Linked DNA regions of Canis lupus familiaris. The protein of the gene in region 1 interacts with the protein of each later gene in a biochemical or structural test. Links are inferred from orthologs where the notes say so. Each region holds a gene or a part of one and is shown in the gene's direction. Other genes may lie near its edges.

Region 1 (6,144 bases):
ATATCCCAGCACAAGAGAAAACTCCTAAAAAAAGGTGAGAGGTAAGACATACAGTAAATATACAGTAGATATGTTAATTTAAGAGGGACAGATTCAAACTCTTGGCTTAAATTATTACTTGAGCAGAGTCAGAGGTATTATTTATTTAGTGCATGTAGAAGAATAGGAATGTACCATTATTAATCCCCTTCTGACTTCCTGCCTTAAAAAAATCCATAAACATGTAAGGAAATAATCATTTCAGTATTAAGACAATCGTAATTACAAAGTTTAGGAGTTACAGCTTAATTTTATAGGAATCTGTACCTGTCTTGAAGTCCTCAAATCTTATAAGACCACTTTTTAAAAATCACATTTCTAAGGATAGTTTTATAAAAATTAAAACCCATGAATTTTTATGCAGATAAAAGATACTTCCTCTTTATATTGTTGAGACTTGTCCAGCACTGAGTAGTTCCTATAGTTTGTAGACATATCCTGGATTTCCATTAGTTAGTACCAAGAGAGAAGAGAGGAATGAGGGAAGGAAGTCCCAAGTGGCCCCAAACCTGTATAATGGAGAGGAGATGGGCAGATGGGGAGTATTAACAAATGGAACATGGGGCGTGATATGGTTCAGCATGATATGATATGCTGCGGGTATTAGAAAAGTTCATTAACCTAGAGTGATTTACCCTGTGTTCTGCTCTTTACCTTTTTCTCTTATTTTCATTTTTGTTTTTGAGCTTCTTATTCTACATTTCAAACACAGTGAAAAAAATAACCTACAGATGGGAGAGAATATTTGCCAATCATATAATTGATGAGGGATTTGTATTCAGAATATATAAAGAACTCTTACAGCTCAACAATAAAAAGACTAATAACCCAATTTACAAAATGGGCAAAGGATTTGAGTAGACATTTCTCCAAAGAAGATCTACAAATGGCTAATAAGCACATAAAAAATGCTTGTCATCCTTAGCCATCAGGGAAGTACAAATCAAAATCATGGTAAAATGGTACTTCACACCCACTGGGATGGCCATAATCTAAAAGACAGACAATAACTAGTGTTAAAGAGGAAATGGAGAAATTGGAACTCTCATACATTGTTGCTGGGAATGTAAAATGGTGCAGCCACATTGAAAAGCAGAGTTAGCAGTTCTCAAAATGTTAAACACTGAATTATTCATGACCCAGCCTATTATATACCCAGGAGAAATGAAAACATATACCCACAGAAAAACTTGGACATGAAGGTTCACAGCATTATTCATAATAGCCAAAAAATGGAAGCATCCTAAATATCCATCCACTGGTGAATAGGAATAAATAAAATGTCTGTCTATACACTGGAATATTATTCAGCAATGAAAAGAAGTACTGATGATATATGCTACAAAATGGATGAACCTTGAAAACATGCTGAGCAAAAGCAGCCAAATATAAAAGGCCATGTGTATGATTCCACTAATATGAAATGTCTAGAATAGGTGAGTCCATAGAAAGTAGATTAGTGGTTTCCAGGTGTTGGAAGGGGGAAGCAGGGCGTGACTGCTAATGGATATAGGGTTTCTTTTTGGGGTGATGAAAATACTCTGAGGTTAGATAGCAGTGACGATTTCTCAACTCTAAATATACTAAAGACTGCTGAATTGTACACTTTAAAAGGGTGAGTTTTATACTATATGAATTATATCTCAATAGAACTTTTGTTTTTTAAAAAATAATAAATCTTGAAAGATGCATCTCAATATTTTATCCTTTATGTAACCTTTTTCTTTTTAATATTTGATTTCTCTTCTCAAGTACCATAGTGCTTTTGACCACTGCAATATGAAACATAATAATCTACATGTGTAGGATAATTATTAGTGTGTCTTATTTCCCTACATTCCTCATTAATTGCAGACACCTTGAGGGTACTTTTAGTATTCTATCCAGTGTTGTGGCGCATACACAGTAAGTACCTGGTGACAAATTTGTTAAAGTCAAGATGAGGAGGAACAGATTTGTTAAAAACCAGTTTAGTAGAAGAGCTATAATACTTGTCTAAGGAGGTATAAGTGAGGTCGGGGAAGATTCCTAAGTGGATTTTTCAGCCAAGCTTTTATAATAGGTTGAGCAGGTGCTTGGAATCGGTAGTGAGGATTGGCATTACACAGAAAGGGAACAGTTTTTTACAATGGCACTTGCTGCTCCTCTTGTAAATCTCTTATGCTAAATGCAACATGACATTACTACATATTTAGCAGTGTTGTCATTAAAGTCAATTATGATCATGATTACAATTTAAAAGCATTTTTGTGAGGTTAGCAGCTCTTAAATAGTAATTCAGGAAAATCACAGATTTTGCTATTTGGTCGAGATTGGCATTTTTAAAAACTCATTTTTATTTGTGTGTTCACCTCAGGATGGCTTTAGATGACAAGCTCTACCAGCGAGACTTAGAAGTCGCACTAGCTTTATCAGTGAAGGAACTTCCGACAGTCACCATTGATGTGGAAGAGGCTCAAGATAAAAGTAATTTTATTTTCCATATATTTATCTTTATGTCCTTATTGTTTTCATAATCATTTCTCTGGGTGAGCCTTTACAGAGGAAAAGAATAAAATTTTAAAACTTTGGATAACAAATGGAATACTTTGCAGAGGGACACAATTAGATTCAGTTGCTTATTCTGCTGCATAAATCTCATACACACACACATCTCTGCTTAACACTTAAACTTGTGGTCATGGACTATGAGCTTGGATTTTTGTGTATAGTGGGGATTTAATCTCTTGATCAAATGAATTGAGATCAATTCAATACAATCAATACAATTCAATACAATTCAATACAATCAATACAATCATAACAATCCAACTATTTTCTCTCAAAATTCAAATCAGTTAAACATGACCTATTGATGGTAATTTTTATTATTTATAAAAGTTAACGATTCTAGTTTGGTTAGCAAGCTCAGTGGAAGTAAGAGATGTGTGACTTCTGGACTTCTCTGGGTTTTTCTCCTTTGATTTGTCTGCCACCTGTGCAGCAGATGGCAGAGGCAGAAATCATTATTCCTGGAAAAGATACTGAAACTTAAAATACCTTTTTGATGAAACAAAACAGTTTCAAAAGGACTTAACTTATGATGGAGGATAATTTTTAGCTCATTAGCTTATTTAGGGGTATAGATGTTTAAGTCAGTATTGCCTTCTTTTTGGAAATGAATGAGACACTCTTGATTAGGGAGTCATTTAGTAATCAGGAAATCAAGGAAACATAAAAACAATTGTTTTATATCTAAAAATTGAGGAAATGAAATCCATCTTTCTCTTGTAAAGGATGGTAAAATACATAGCAGAATTTCCTTGGAAATATCACTTTTCATAGATTAATGTACTTTATAGTAATGGGATTTAATAGTACCAATTATTGTGACTAAAAGTCCTCTTGAAATACTTTAGATCATTTTAAGGTTATTATAATGATTGAAGAGGCTTTGTTAGTAAGAGTGTGTATCTGCCTACACAGAAATGACAGTTAATATTTATTGACTGTTTCCTGTGTGCTGGGCAATAAGCAATTCCTACATGTGGTTGACATTTAATCCCCCACAATAATCCCAATTAATCCACACACTATTTATTATTTCTGTATTATCGATGAGGACATTAAGTCTTAGAGGGGATAAGTAACTTTCCAGTGGTCATATAGCCAATGTTTCAACTGAAGTCTCAGTCTGATTTCAGAGCCCAAACTCTTAACCATATCCTTTCCAAGGTAAATCATTGTGTTATAAGTCTGCATCATTTATCTGTATCTGGATGCCTTTACATTTGAGCACCAATTTTCCTATTTCTGCTCATTGGCTGATTAAGATGCATCTGTACTTTTTGTCCTCTTCCTTGTCTTTAGGCACTGGGAAATGTGGCAGCAGCGAAACTGGGACAATGAATAAGGCTCCCCATATCTCTAATTGCAGTGTAGCCAGTGATTATTTAGGTAAGTTTTGATATTAGTAATAATACTTACTTTTTCTGGGATGCCTGGGTAGCTCAGTGGTTGAGCATCTGCCTTCGGCTCAGGGTGTGATCCCAGGGTCCTGGGATCAAGTCCCACATCAGGCTCCCTGCAGAGAGCCTGCTTCTCCCTCTGCCTATGCCTGTGCCTCTCTTTCTCTCTCTGTATCTCTCATGAATAAATAAATCAAATCTTTAAAAGAAATTTACTTTTTCTATTGACAGTGCTGTTTTCCTAACTTTTATTTAAATACCTGACCCTGCAGAGACTCATTGGGAAAGGGGGAGAAAATTGAATGGGAAGAAATCAGAGAGGAAGATAAACCATGAGAGACTCTGAGCTCTAGGAAACAAACTGAGGGTTGCTGAAGGGGAGGTGGTTGAGGGATGGGGTAACTGGGTGATGGGCATTATGGAGGGCACAGAATGTGATGAGCACTGGGTGTTATATACAACTGATGAATCACTGAATTCTACCTCTGAAACTAATGATGTACTATATGTTGGCTAATTGAATTAAAATTAAAAAAAAAAAAAAACCTGACGCTAGCTAGAACCAAGATACTTAAATTTGTTAAGGTTCCCTTCACCTCTTCTCCTTTGTTTCTTTGTGTTTTAGCTTTCTTCCTTTTTACTGCAGACCTGTTTTCTTCTTTCCAGGGGGAGGGTCATGACTACCATGGCTTCTAGTCAATAGCTGTTGACCACTGAAAAAAAGGGGCTTCATCTTCCCAGCTCCAGTTTTACAATTTCTTGGGGCAAGAATCCTCAGTTGGGCTGTCTTGTCAGGAGACTGAGGTATTATGATTGACCCACATTGGACTGTGTGGTCTCTCAGAAGCCACGGAGGGATGAGGCAGGGCAAATAAAAACAACAGATGTGATAGAAGCCTGCTCTGCAGTTCTTTAAGTATTACCTGTCACAAAAAGTTTTCCATTGGTTTTTATGCCTCCCCTGAAGATTTGGACAAGATCACTGAGGAAGATGATTTTCATGGTGTTGAAGGGAAAAGAAAAGCAGCATCAAAAGCTGTGGTACAACAGAGGAAGATTCTTCTGGAAGGCAGTGATGGCGATAGTGCTAATGACTCTGAACCAGACTTTGCAACTGGTGAGTTCTGTCCTACTTCAAAATTAAACCTATGGAAATTCAGTAAAAAGTCCTTAGAGACCATTAATGTATGTGAAGCACTGTGCTGTTTGGTGTATGCAAACTTGAGGAACACGCAGGACAGTTAAATTCAGCTCTGCCTTTGGGGAAAAGGCTTTATGTAGAGGTAACCTTTAGGCCGTGCCTTGAAAAATGAATAGCATTTAGGCAAAATAGCAGGGTAAAATTGCATTCCTGACTGACAGAAAGGTATAAACAGTGGAATAGACAAGCACATATATAAGAGGTCACTGAGCCCACAGGAGAGAATGTTATAGAAGAGGTGAAAGAGGCAGGCTGGCACAAGATCAAGGAGGGTCTCAGACCCATTCTGAGCAGTGTACACTTTTTTTTTGTAGGTAGTAGAAATTCATGACATATTTTGGGGTTGAAGTGATAGGAAACCTGTATTTTATTGTGACATGTTTTCAGACTTATTCAGAAGTTAGGGCACATGGGAAGCATAGTGACCTTGACAGAGCATCATAATATATTAATTAAAACTTAAAATGAATAAATTCATAAGTTTGTGCCAAATCAGATATATAGCTTGATAGATTTTAACATGCTGTTGACAGATGGATTTGTTCGCCACCATTCTGTAAATATTTGAGTATCTGTTGTGTGCATTATATTCTAGACGCTAGAAATACAGCAGTGAACAACAACGACACAGAAACCAGGGCTCCCTTAAGGAGCTTAAATTCAAGTGAAGGGACAGACAATAATGAAATGTAGAATGTGTCCAGTGTCATCATAGAAGAGCTATGAAAAAGAGAAATGCGGGGTAGAGCCCAGAAATCTGCCTTTTGAACCAATACCTGCCCTTTGATATGACCCACATCGTGCCAAAGCAGGTCGAGATCTTCCTATCTGGAGAAACTCTGACATAAGTGGAGCACTAGAAGGTAGAAGCCAGTGAAAGAAAAAGCCCTGACGTAGTATAGTAGAGCATGAACCGAGTTGCTTCCCAACTTAAGGGTCCTTAATCCAAAAAAGCCC
Region 2 (6,144 bases), on another chromosome or scaffold:
CGTGAAAGTATTTTAATAACCTAACAACTGGTACCACCATGATGGTAACTCTGCAGGCTGGTACCAAATAGCAGAGGAAGGAGTTCAAGGTCTGGTGGGGCAGAAAGTTGAGAAAACATATTTTAAAATAGGGGCGTCTGGGTGGTGTAGTCAGTTAAACATTCGACTCTTGTTTTTGGCTTAGATCTGATCTCAGGTTAGTGAGATCAAGTCTCACATCAGGTTCCAGACTCAACATAGAGTCTGGTGGAGTTTCTCTCTCCCTCTTCCTCTGCCTCTGCCTGCCTCTCTCTCTCTCTCTCTCTCTCCAATAAATAAATAAATCTTTAAAAAAATAAAATAAGTTAAATGTTGTTCCACTCCTTTGGGTTAAGGTCTTAAAAATCTGGACAGGACATGACAAAAATATTGGGCTTCCCAGCCCTTTCAGTGCTGGTGCATCTTCTAAATATATAATAATGTGTTTGAAAAACACATTATTGATCCTACCTCGATCTATCTAGAGAAGTGGAATTTGAGGCATTTTGGAGTAACTCATAATATTGAATCAACCCTTTAAAAGATATGATACAATTGGATAATGAAGAATCAAAGCTCCACTTTTTATTTTCTGTTGCATCCCCTTCAGGAATCTTTGTTTCAAGACATTGACCTGTTACAAAAACATGGAATCGTAAGTATTTTTTCAATTTTCAATGTAAGTTTTCAGTGTGAAATTGTTCAATTCAGGGTTTCTCATCCTTGACCCTATTGACATTTGGGACTGGGCAATTCTTAGTTGTGTGTGTGTGTGTGTGGGGGTGCATTTGTAAGGTATTTAGTAGCATCCCTGGCTCCTGACCACTCACTTTATGCTGATAGCACCCCTTTTAGTTATGACAACCAAAAATTTCTCTAGACATTGTCATATGACCCAAGGGGGCAAAACTGCCCCCGGTTGAGAACCACTGGTCCGACTGGAGGTATTCAGGGCTACCTACCACGGTCTTCAACAGAAAATTCAGTTCCTTGGCAGGTGATTAGAGTAAATGATGTTGACCAAAATCAGACTTTGAGTAACAAGATGAATTCAACAGCAGTTCATTGATAGTAAAACTCTGACATTATCTTTTGAAGCCCTCACATTTAATTTCTTTCAGTTGGATTTAGAAAATAGGAGCAAGAGAAAATCCTGGCCCTTTGGTAATGTAGTTATTTGCATTTCCCAAGGGTAGAAGAAAAAAAATTAATTAAAAAAACCATATTCATAATGAAGTTCTCTAGAAGGAAAGAGCTGAACCGAGGGGGCGAATGTGTGATAAATTTGCTAGCTTTTCTACCAACAGACTTTTCTTTTGAATTCCTTGTTACATTGCCATGGTCTCACTAACATTCTTGGGAAATCAGGGCACAGCCAGAACATTTGGCAGCATGCTGGGTATGTTCTACTCAGATATTTCCAGAACATTTGGCTACATGGTGGGTGGGTTCCACCTGGCTGCTTGTATAAAATTGGCATCATGGTAGAAGGAGATGGACACAAAAGCACATGACATAGTATGGGAGCCTTGCAGGCTGGCATTTTATCAATCTGCTGCACCCATTCTTTTATTTACAGAATGTGGCTGACATTAAGAAACTGAAGTCAGTAGGAATCTGTACCATCAAAGGGATACAAATGACAACAAGAAGAGCACTATGCAATGTCAAAGGGCTCTCAGAAGCAAAAGTGGACAAGATTAAAGAGGCAGCCAACAAACTTATTGTAAGCAAGATCAATTCTTTGTTGTTTTAGCTTAGAAGGGCCCTGGGAGTCTCTGTAGCCTTTCTCATTGAACACCAGAAACTCCTCACAAATACTAGAAACTACTGAGGGAACCCTGAATTTCTATGGATCACAATCTATTATATCCTCGTGTTAACTTTTGATCACTTCAGTTTCAAAGCAACAGCAATTAATCTTTGACAGATTGAGACAAGAGTTAAAGAGACTTGAATACTATAATCATTTCTACCAAGCCTTTTTTTTGGATCTCCTTTTATATTAATTTTTCTCTCTTTATGTTTCTATGCCTTAACTCCTTATTTTTGCTTTGTCTTCTCAAATATTGTATCTTTGGTTGTTGCAAAGCACTCAGCACCAAAGAAGTTGTACTCTCATGGTATAGGTCAATTGGTAAGGGAACGTTGGGTTAGAATAAGACTAACAGTGTGGTCTACACGTATACAGTCGAGATAGATATGACCAAGAATATGCTCACTGAGGCAGATGAACTGCAGCTGAGCTAAACTCACACCTTGGAGCTGGCCCACAGACTATGAGAGGCCCATGCAGCTAAGAGGCTCCAAGCAAAAACATATGCCTTTGACCCTAGCTTTTGTGTTGAATTTTTGGAGGCCAGTGGAGGCACTAGCACTGATAACAAGAATGTGCGGAAAGAAAGTCACCAAGTCTCTCCTTTTGCAGAACAAGGCTTTCCATATTTACACAGGTGTGTGAGGGTCTTATTCCCAGCAACTCCTAGAAGCGTTCTTCATGGACAGCCATTTGGTTTCCTTCCTCAGAGGCAGTTGAAGTGTGACAGTGATGACAGTGGCTGTGTGGTCCTGAACTTGGAGACAACCTAACTGAACTCTTCTGAACCCAGCTCAGTTGCCCTAACTTCTGAGTAAACTCAGGCGGTATATTCATAGGTCAATTCTACAACTGCCCTAGAGCAGTACCCAGAGTTTTTAAAACTGCCACTTTAGAGTTCATAAGCATTACTCTTATTTTCCTTGTAAACTAAATCCCATTATCAAAGAAAAGAATCCCTCTCCTTCTCAAGCATATACTAGTGAACCCAGAATCTGCATCCTTTCTTAACTAAAGCTGTTTATTCTTAGAAAGAGATTGAGAGATAGAAGGAGGGAGGGAGGGAAGGAGGGAAGGGGTGGAGTGAGGGAGAGAGAGACAGAGAGAGAAAGGAAGTTAATTTAGTAATATAGTGGTTCCAAACAGTGCGTATCAATGACCTGGAGCGGCTAATAATGAAGACATACGCCCAGACTTGTTGAAATAGGATAGGGCCTGGGTGTTTTTTTTTTTTAAAGAGTTGTGAGTTTAAACATTTTATTTACTTATTTTACAGGGTGGGGGAGGGGCAGAGGGCGAGGGAGAGAGAGAACCCCAAGTAGGCTCCACACTCAGCACACAGCCCTACATGGGGCTTGATCTCATGACCTGAACTGAAATCACGAGTCAGAGACTCAACTGACTGAGCCACCCAGGTACCCCGGTTTGGGCTTTTTAAACCTCCTGTCAAGTTCTCCAAAGTTTGAGAACCACTGTCCTATGAAACAAGAACAGAAATACATTAGACCATATCATTAGAGCACATCAAGCCCTGTTCTCACTAGTTACACTACTGCATCGCTACAGCTCATTGATTTGGCAAATAAGTAGCATTTCTACTGCTGACAGATATTGTCTCATGAATAGTGAATTTCTGTGCTCCTTGAAATTTCCAGAGCTAGGGGGAAATGATGCTGGTCAATGGAATCATTTAGTAAAATACCATTCTGCTTTGTGCAATAAATATACCTCATTTAAATTTTATAGCTACCCTATGAGAGAGACACTGTTCTTATTCTGATTTGACCCCAAAAATAAGTTGGAGTACAGCAAGATTAAGTAGTTTACCCTAAATTACACAACTAGTAAGTATTAGAGACATATTTTGAACCTACATAGGGCAGTTCCAGCACCTGTTTTTTTAACCATGATCTTGTGCTGCTTTCAAAGATAAATAAATGAATTGTAGCTCATATCAAATGATGACCCTGATAATCAAGTAGAGAGTTTTGGGCAGCATTTGAAGTTAACATCATCATCTTATACCCTTTTGAACCTTTCCTTTTGTCTTTCTGTAGGAACCAGGATTCTTGACTGCCTTTGAGTATAGTGAGAAGAGAAAGATGGTTTTCCATATCACCACTGGGAGCCAGGAATTTGAGTGTGTATCTTGTATCTTTTACAACCACTAGACACAATCTTTGGAATGTTGTATCTTTTTTCTTGAGTTTGTTAGAAATAGCTTCTTTTTCTGAAGTAGCTTTTTTTTTCCTAAAAGACTACTACTAAAGCAAACAAATTCCAGATGATTTGTAGAAGCAAGATTAAATTTCTTATAAGAAATTCAGACCCAAAATATAAGTAGTTTTCTGAATCAGCCTGTATTTTTAAAACCATCTTGAAAATCAGTTTAACTTTTCATTTCCTTTTCTTCTTGTTGATAAAGGAAATTCCATTTCACTTTTGGTTTTACTTAAAAATCAGTTGTTAGATTGAATATTTTAGAAGAAATAAATTCAGTGGGTTTTTTTTTTTTTTTTGCTCTTTAGCATCAGAAGCTCTTACTCATTAACAAATTCTGTCTGCTCTACCTTCAACAACAAATCACCCTATTCATTTCTTCAACAAATAAATTACAAGGAATCAAAAAAGATGAAGTCAGGGAGAAGACGTAGAGATTAAAAGAGATTTAAAAGACATTTTACCTAATCCCCAATATATGGATTTTATTTGGATCCTGATTCAAATACACTATAAAAAATAAGATGTATATGAGACAATTGGAAGATTGAACACTTACCTTTTTTAAGATTATTTATTCATTTAAGAGAGAGAAAGGGAGTACAAACAGAAAGAGGCAGAGAGAAGAGAAGCAGACTCCCCACTGAGCTATGAGCCTGACGTAAGGCAGATAGATGCTCAACCATCTGAGCCACCCAGGTACCCCAGAATTACTACTTTTTTAGGTAATAATGATAATATGATTATGTTTAAAATAAGAGTATTCATTTTTTTAGAGATAACTACTGAAATATTTAGGATAAAATGATATATTGTCCAGTCTCTGCTTAAAATAGTATGAAAGGGGAGGGAAGTAATTAGAGGTTTATATGAAAAAAGATTGACCATGAGTTCATAGTTGGTAATTGTTGAAGCTAAGTGATAGGTACATGATGGCTCGTTAGTATACTGTTTTTTGTCCACTTTAGTTTATGTTTGAAACTTTCCATTATAACATTTATATATTTTTTTCTATGTGTGTGTGTATAGAAAAAAGAAGAAATAGGAATTCAATTAATTCTCTACCACCTCCTCCACTGTTACCTCACTGGTTTAAACTATCTATTAATATCTCCTCTGGAGTATTATAATGCTTCTAGCCTCTCTCTTTCAGATCTTGCCTCTACTATTTATTCTTCACACAGTAGCCGGAATGATCCCTTTAAAACTTAGGTCACAGGCGTCTGGGTCATTCAGTCGATTGAGTGTCTGACTCTTGATTTTGGCTCAGGTCATGATCTCAGGGTCACGGGATCTAGCCCTGCATCATGGGGTTCCATACTCAGTGGGGAGTCTGCTTGGGATTCTCTCCCTCTGCCCCTCCCGCTCTGCCCCCCACTCTCTCTTAAAAACAAAAACAAAAATCAACAAATTTAGGTCAAATCATGACATTCTCTGCCCAAAACTACTCTAATGACTCCTCATCTCAGAGCAAAAGCCAAAATCCTCTTTAATCAACTCTCATCTTTTTATTCTTTTTTCAGTTTGCTATACACCAACCACACCAACTTCTTTGCTATTCCTAGAACATGCCAGATACACTCCATCCTCAGGGTCTTTGCACTTACCATTTCCTCTGCTTGGAATACTTTTTCCTTCTACATGTGCATGGCATACTGTCATCTCTTTCAGATTTTTGCTAAAATGTCCACTTCTCAATGAGGCTGCTTTAATCACTTTATTTAAATACTTAAACTCCCTGCCTTCATCCTCTGCATTTCTTTTTTTTTTTTTTTAAAGATTTTATTTATTCATAGGGACACAGAGAGAGAATGAGAGGCAGAGACACAGGCAGAGGGAGAAGCAGGCTCCATGCAGGGAAGGAGCCTGACGTGGGACTTGATCCAGGGTCTCCAGGATCACTTCCTGGGCTGCAGGCAGCACTAAACTGCTGCGCCACCGGGGCTGCCCATCCTCTGCATTTCTTATTTTCTTTCTGGATCTAATTTTTATTCATACCATTTAATAACATCTGACATACCACATATTTCACTCATTTACTTATTATTGTTTATTGTCTATTCTCTCACTAGAATGTAGTAAGCTCCACA
Region 3 (6,649 bases), on another chromosome or scaffold:
AGATAATGGCAGTTTGTTTGGTATATCTATGTTTTTTTCTTGATCATGCTAAGGAAACATCTAATTCTTTTTTTACCTTTTCCCTCCTTTTTTCTTTTTTTAAGATTTATTTATTTATTCATGAGAGACACAGAGAGAGAGGTAGAGACACAGGCAGAGGAAGAAGCAGACTCCTTGCAGGGAGCCTGATGTGAGGTTCGATCCCCAGACACAGGATCCAGGATCACATCCTGAGCTGAAGGCAGACACTCAGTTGCTGAGTCACCCAGGTGCACTGGATCATCCTTGTACTACTCAGTCGGATCACTTGGACTTGACAGTGGGTTTCCCTTTCTGCATTTCCCTTACTCTGCTACAGGCTGACTATGCCAGATCATTTTTCTTGAGACAAAAGATTAGATTTCTGATGATTAAGTTTTGGTTTTACTAGAGGTTACCTTCTTAAGATTTCAGATAGGTCATTAGACTGATTTAGGATATATCCCAAACTTTTAAATTACACATTTATTTTTTTTAAGATATTACTTATTTGAGAAAAAAGAGTGAGAGGGAGGGGTAGGGGGAGAGGCAGAAGGAGAATTAGATTCTCTGCTTAGCAGGAAGCTCTGCACTGGGCTGGATCCCAGGACCCCAGGATCATGACTCAAGGGAAAGGCAGACACCTAACCACCTGAGCCACCTAGATGCCCCTCAATTACACATTTGTAAATAATCACACGGCTTGCTAATTTAACTGTTATATATTTTTAACTGTTAGTAAGAACTCTAGCTTATCTTATTTCCAAGTGTTTAGTGGGTTGTCTTGGAAGTGAGGAACAGAAAACTACTCAAACTGGTTAAGCAGAAGAAATGGAAGGGAGACTTATTGGAATGTAGGAGTAGGGGATCCCTGGGTGGCGCAGCGGTTTGACGCCTGCCTTTGGCCCAGGGCGCGATCCTGGAGACCCGGGATCGAATCCCACATCGGGCTCCCAGTGCATGGAGCCTGTTTCTCCCTCTGCCTATGTCTCTGCCTCTCTGCCTCTCTGCCTCTCTCTCTCTCTGTGACTATCATAAATAAATTAAAAAAAAAAAAAAAGGAATGTAGGAGTATCTCATAGATCTCAAGAACAGTAAGTACTACTGGGCTCCTAAGAAATTGGAAAAATTTGGAAAATATCAGATTTAGGGCATCTGGGTGGCTCAGTGGTTGAGCATCTGCCTTTAGCACAGGTTATGATCCTGGGGTTCTGGGATCAAGTTCTGCATAGACTCCCTGCAGGGAGCCCACCTCTCCACACGCACAACCCACTGTTAATCAAGTGTTGCTGTGTTATTGAACTTATATCACCTGCACATTGTTTTGCCAAATAGACTACAAGCATCTTTGAGATTAAGAATGCTATGCTAGGGATCCCTAGGTGGCGCAGCGGTTTGGCGCCTGCCTTTGGCCTAGGGCGCGATACTGGAGACCCAGGATCAAATCCCACGTCGGGCTCCCGGTGCATGGAGCCTGCTTCTCCCTCTGCCTGTGTCTCTGCCTCTCTCTGTGACTATCATAAATAAATTAAAAAAAAAACCAAACAAGCTTTATGAACTTTAAAGCACTCCACAAATATACAGTAGTAGTGGGGGAAAAATAGATCTAAATAAAGTAGTAGTAGGGGAAAGATTGATCAAACCATAGAACTCCTCTGCTCAAAAACTTTTTTTTTAATTTTATTTATGATAAGCACACAGTGAGAGAGAGAGAGGGGCAGAGACATAGACAGAGGGAGAAGCAGGCTCCATACACCGGGAGCCCGATGTGGGATTCGATCCCAGGTCTCCAGGATCGCGCACCTGGGCCAAAGGCAGGCGCCAAACCGCTGCGCCACCCAGGGATCCCCTCAAAAACTTTCAATGAGGAGTGCCTCAGTGGCTCAGCGTGGAGCCCCTGCCTTTGGCTCCGTTCATGATCTGAGGGTCTGGGATGAGTCCCACATTGGGCTCCCCAGGGAGCCTGCTTCTTCCTCTGCTTCTCCCTCTGCCTCTATGGGTGTCTCTCATGAATAAACAAAATCTTTAAAAAAAAATAAGATTTTTAATGATTTCCTCATTACTTAAAGAATAAAGACTGAAGCTCCACACATGGCCTTAAGCTTCTTCATAACCTGAATGAAATGTTAATTTTCCAGTATCAGCGTCTCTAGGACACTTTTCCTCCTTCATCAGACAATTCTATCGCTTGACCACGTTATTTCCATACCCATAGTGCTCTAAGTCTCCCATCTCCGTTTCTTTGCCCAGGAAACCCCATTAACGCTTTAAAACCGGAGTCACACACAGGTCCAACTTCCCAGTAAACAAGGTTTACTTTCTCAAAATCAGTGTCTCCTGCCCTCGGGAGTCTTCCAAATCTCAAGTACCAAGACTTGACTAATATTTCAGCCATTTTTCTCCCCTTCGTTAGCTGTTTCCAGTTCCATCTCAGCTCTACCACCTCCAGGGGCCTGGAAGGAAAACCCCAGGCTCCGGGAATTTGACGAAATCGGAAGCTCAGACTAAACGTCCAGGTTTAGAAACTAAAGAGGCAAATCGAGAGCAGCTCTCTAGAGCCAGACCTTCCCCCAGCAGGGGTGAGGCGCTAAAGTGGTGTGCGACCCTGTGCCTGCTGGGAGATGGAGTCTCCGACCCACCCCACTACCTCTTGGGAGTTGTAGTCCTTGGTCTGGTAAAAGAGAAGGAAGCGGCGACTCCCAAATTGTGAATTAGTTTTTAGGGGTAAAGGGAAGAGGCAAATGCCTCACATGAGGCAAGACCAAGTTCCTTGGACCCAACTAGGGTTCGCGAGCAGCCGCAGAGCGGGCTAGACCTCCGGGCCGAGGGGGCGGGGAGACGTTACGTTGACGCTGGCGTGACCCAGCCGGAGAATTTGGCGGGATCTCCAAACACTCCCCGGAGGGAGCTCTGCGGTTTGAGACCCAGCCTGAGGAGACTGACGCGCCCTTAGGGGCGTCGTTGGGAGCTGAAGCTCGCTTGGGTTGTGTGCGGAAGGCGGCAAAAAGGGAGTAGAAAATTTGGCAGCAAGGGAGGGAGTCCAGAGCCCGTCCAGAGTCGTGCGCGGACCGGACCCGCGGACAGAAGTCGGAGCGCGCAGCCCGGCAGTGAGGAGCGCTGTGGACCGAGGTGAGCGTGTGAGGCGTAGACTCGGCCCCTCCTGCCTCCCGGTGCGTCCCCGCAGTAGCCGAACCGGGCGGAGCCCGTGCCGCCGGCAGCCGGCTTATGGGCCCCTCTGCGCCAAGTGAGAAACCGGAGTTGGCGGGGCGGAGCAGGGTCATGCCCGGGCCCAACCCACCGTCGGGGCTCGTTGTGGCAAAAACTGAAGTGGTCCCCAGGCTCCAGAGCTAGAAGGAACCTCAGAGGCCTTCATTTTCAACACCCGGTTTGGGGGTGGGGGGGTGGGGGCGGCGGGAAAGCCGAGATCCAGAGAGGTGTTGTGATTTAACGTCACAGCTGTTTCTGTCGGGGCCAGGGTTTCCGGATTTCTGGTTAATCCTCTTTCCATTACACCCTGCTTTGCTTACGGAGTACCAGCTTCCAATTTCCTAAAAGGCGTTTTCATTAGCTAATTCAGGCCGTTCGTGTGATGATGCCTGGGGAATGATCTGTAGTGAAGTGGTTTCTTTTGACTGCTAAAGTGAAGTGTAATATGCGTATGGAAGAATATACAAATCAGAAGTGTATAGTATACGCCTCTGATTTCAAAAAGAATATACCTGTGCAGTCATTACTCAGGTCAATAAATAGAACGTTGTCAGCACCCCAACATCCCCTGTTCTCTCCAAAGGTAACCTCTGTATTGACTTCTGACACCAAAGACTAAATTTGCCTGTGTTTGAGTTTTGTGTAACTGATATTATCTATCTTTAAAAGGTTTTGTTTATTCATTTATTTATGAGAGACGCAGAGGGAGAAGCAGGCTCTTCAGGGAGCCTGCTGCGAGACTCGATCCCAGAAGCTCGGGATCATGACCTGAGCGACAGCAGATGCTCAACCGCTGAGCCACCCAGTTTCCCCATATTATGTATATTTTTGTGTTTGGTTTTGCTCAACATTCTGTCTGTAGATTCGTACTTATTTTTGCATATAGTAATAGTTCTTTTTAGTTTCTGTATTGAATTCCTTATTCATTCTGCCCATGCCCATGGTGGACATTTGGGTTGTTTCTAGTTTCTGAGTTTTTAAATGAGAAAATCTGCAGAGAACATTCCTGCGTATGTTTTGGTACAAACGTGTATGGTTTTCAGTTGGTTAGTAATACAGCGTTGAAATTCCTGGGTCATAGCATTTGTCTATATTCAACTTCCACATTTAATGCCAGTTTTCTTTTTTTAAAGATTTTATTTATTTATTCATGAAAGAGAGTGAAGGGCAGAGACACAGGCAGAGGGAGAAGCAGGCTCCATGCAGGAAGCCCGGTGTGGCATTGGATCCCGACACTCCGCATCCATGCCCTGGGCCAAAGACAGGTGCTAAACCGCTGAGCCACCCAGGCATCCCTACTGCCAGTTTTCTGCTACCAATTTACATTTACACCAGCAGTGTATGAGTGTTTAGTTTTTTCACATGCTTGCCAACACTTGATATTGTCAATCTTTTAAAATTTTATCTGTTTTGGTGGCATATAGTAATACTTCGTGGTTTTAATTTTGATTTTCCTGATAATTAGTCAGGTTGAGCATTGGTTCATCGTTTTTGGCCCATTTGGACATCTTCTATCCTGAAGTACTTGTTCCAATCTCTTGTCTGTTTTTCTATTGAGTTGCCTTTCTCCCTTCCCTTCCCTCTTTCCTTCCCTCTTTCCTTCCCTCTCTCCTTCCCTCTCTCCTTTCCTCTCCTTTCCTTTCCTTTTTTTAAGATTTTATTTATTCATTCATGAGAGAGAGGGAGAGGGAGAAGCAGAAGCAGGCTCCATGCAGGGAGTCCGATGTGGGACTCGATCCTGGGACTGCGGGATCACACCCTGAGCCAAAGGCAGATGCTCAACCGCTGAGCCATCCAAGTGTCCCTATTGGGTTGCCTTTCTTGCTGATTTGAAGTTCTTTATATATTTTAATTATCAGCCCTTAGTTGTATATATGGTAAATATTTTGTCTCCCACCTGTAGTTTGACTTCATTTTCTTAATAGTGTCTTTTGATGGATAGAAGTTTTAAGTTTAAATGTCCGATTTTTCAGTCTTTTTTTTCGTTGTTGCTTTAAGAAAGTTTTATCCCAAAGTCATGAAAACATTCACCTATATTCCAAAAGCTTTGTTTTACCTCTTATATTTAGATCTGTAATCGAATTGGAAACAGATGTTTCTTCTGTATGTGCAGTGTTTTATTTTGTTTTTGTTCTTTTTCTTATTCTGTAAGGCTCTCCCATCAACCTAGCACTTTTTATTGAAAAAAAAAATCCTTTTTCCATTCTCTGTAATTCCATCTTCTTCATAAATTATGAAGGGAGGTGTTTAAATTTTTTTTTTTTTTTAAGATTTTATTTATTCTGGGCAGCCCTGGTGGCTCAGCGGTTTAGTGCCACCTTCAGCCCAGGGCTTGATCCTGTAGACCCTGGATCGAGTCCCACGTCGGGCTGCTTGCATGGAGCCTGCTTCTCCCTCTGCCTGTGTCTCTGCTTCTCTCTCTCTCTCATTCTCTCATTAAAAAAAAAAAAAAAATCTTAAAAAAAAAAGATTTTATTCATGAAAGACACAGAGAGAGGCAGAGACATAGGCAGAGGGAGAAGCAGTCTCCATGCCAGAAGCCCATTGTGGGACTTGGGACTCTAGGATCATGCCCTGAGCCGAAGGCAGACGCTCAACTGCTGAGCCACCTAGGCATCCCAAGATGTTTAAATTTAAACTGCATTCAGGTGATTCCAGTATTTAACATTATCAGAGATATACATTATGCTAAATTTGCCATCTAAGAGATCTGCATCTGAACTAATTAAGAACAAATGGTCATTTCCAAAGAAGACACAAATTAATTGCAAACAGACACATGAAAAGGTGCTCAACATCATTAATCATCAGGGAAATACAAACCAAAACCGCAATGAGATATTATGTCCCATCTACCAGAATGGCTAAAATTAAAAAGATAAGAAATAGGGGAGCCTGACTGGTAAGGATGTGGAAAAAAAGGAACCCTCATGAACTGTTGGTGCACTAATTTACATTTGTGCAGCTGCTGTGGAAAACAGTATTGAGATTCCTCAAAAAATTAAAAATGGAAATACCATGTGATCCAGTAATTGCACTACTAGGTATTTACCCAAAGAAAAAACACTAACTTGAAGAGATATATGCAACCCATTGTTTATTGCAGCATTATTTATAATAGCCAAGATATGGAAGCAACCCAAGTATCCATCCACACATGAATGGATAAAGGATATGTACACACACACACACACACGAGATCTTCCCCTTTGCAACAATATGGGGGAACCTAGAGGGTACTATACTAAGTGAAATAAGTCATACAGAGAAAAAAATATGATATGATTTTATTTATATGTGGAATGTAAAAAAAATAAATGAACAAACAAAAAGCAGAAACAGACCCATAAATACAGAGAACAAACTGATGGTTCCCAGAGGGGAGGAGGAAGAATGGGCAGAGGGGTGAAAGTGAGTGAGAGGT

What was found.
Region 2: the proteins of RAD51AP1 (region 1) and DMC1 form a complex in vitro, tested with the Homo sapiens proteins (2 studies listed by BioGRID and IntAct). The link is inferred for Canis lupus familiaris from reciprocal best matches to the Homo sapiens genes RAD51AP1 and DMC1.
Region 3: the proteins of RAD51AP1 (region 1) and RAD51 form a complex in vitro, tested with the Homo sapiens proteins (6 studies listed by BioGRID and IntAct). The link is inferred for Canis lupus familiaris from reciprocal best matches to the Homo sapiens genes RAD51AP1 and RAD51.

The regions. Positions count from the first base shown.
Region 1 is NC_049248.1:5,763,152-5,769,295, forward strand, and holds part of RAD51AP1 (RAD51-associated protein 1), read left to right. Parts: coding exon 1-34; intron 35-2,395; coding exon 2,396-2,505; intron 2,506-3,888; coding exon 3,889-3,975; intron 3,976-4,953; coding exon 4,954-5,103; intron 5,104-6,144. UniProt on the Homo sapiens protein: Structure-specific DNA-binding protein involved in DNA repair by promoting RAD51-mediated homologous recombination.
Region 2 is NC_049231.1:27,231,313-27,237,456, forward strand, and holds part of DMC1 (meiotic recombination protein DMC1/LIM15 homolog), read left to right. Parts: intron 1-628; coding exon 629-673; intron 674-1,597; coding exon 1,598-1,744; intron 1,745-3,891; coding exon 3,892-3,974; intron 3,975-6,144. UniProt on the Homo sapiens protein: Participates in meiotic recombination, specifically in homologous strand assimilation, which is required for the resolution of meiotic double-strand breaks.
Region 3 is NC_049251.1:8,125,361-8,132,009, forward strand, and holds the start of RAD51 (DNA repair protein RAD51 homolog 1), read left to right. Parts: upstream 1-2,890; 5' UTR 2,891-3,147; intron 3,148-6,649.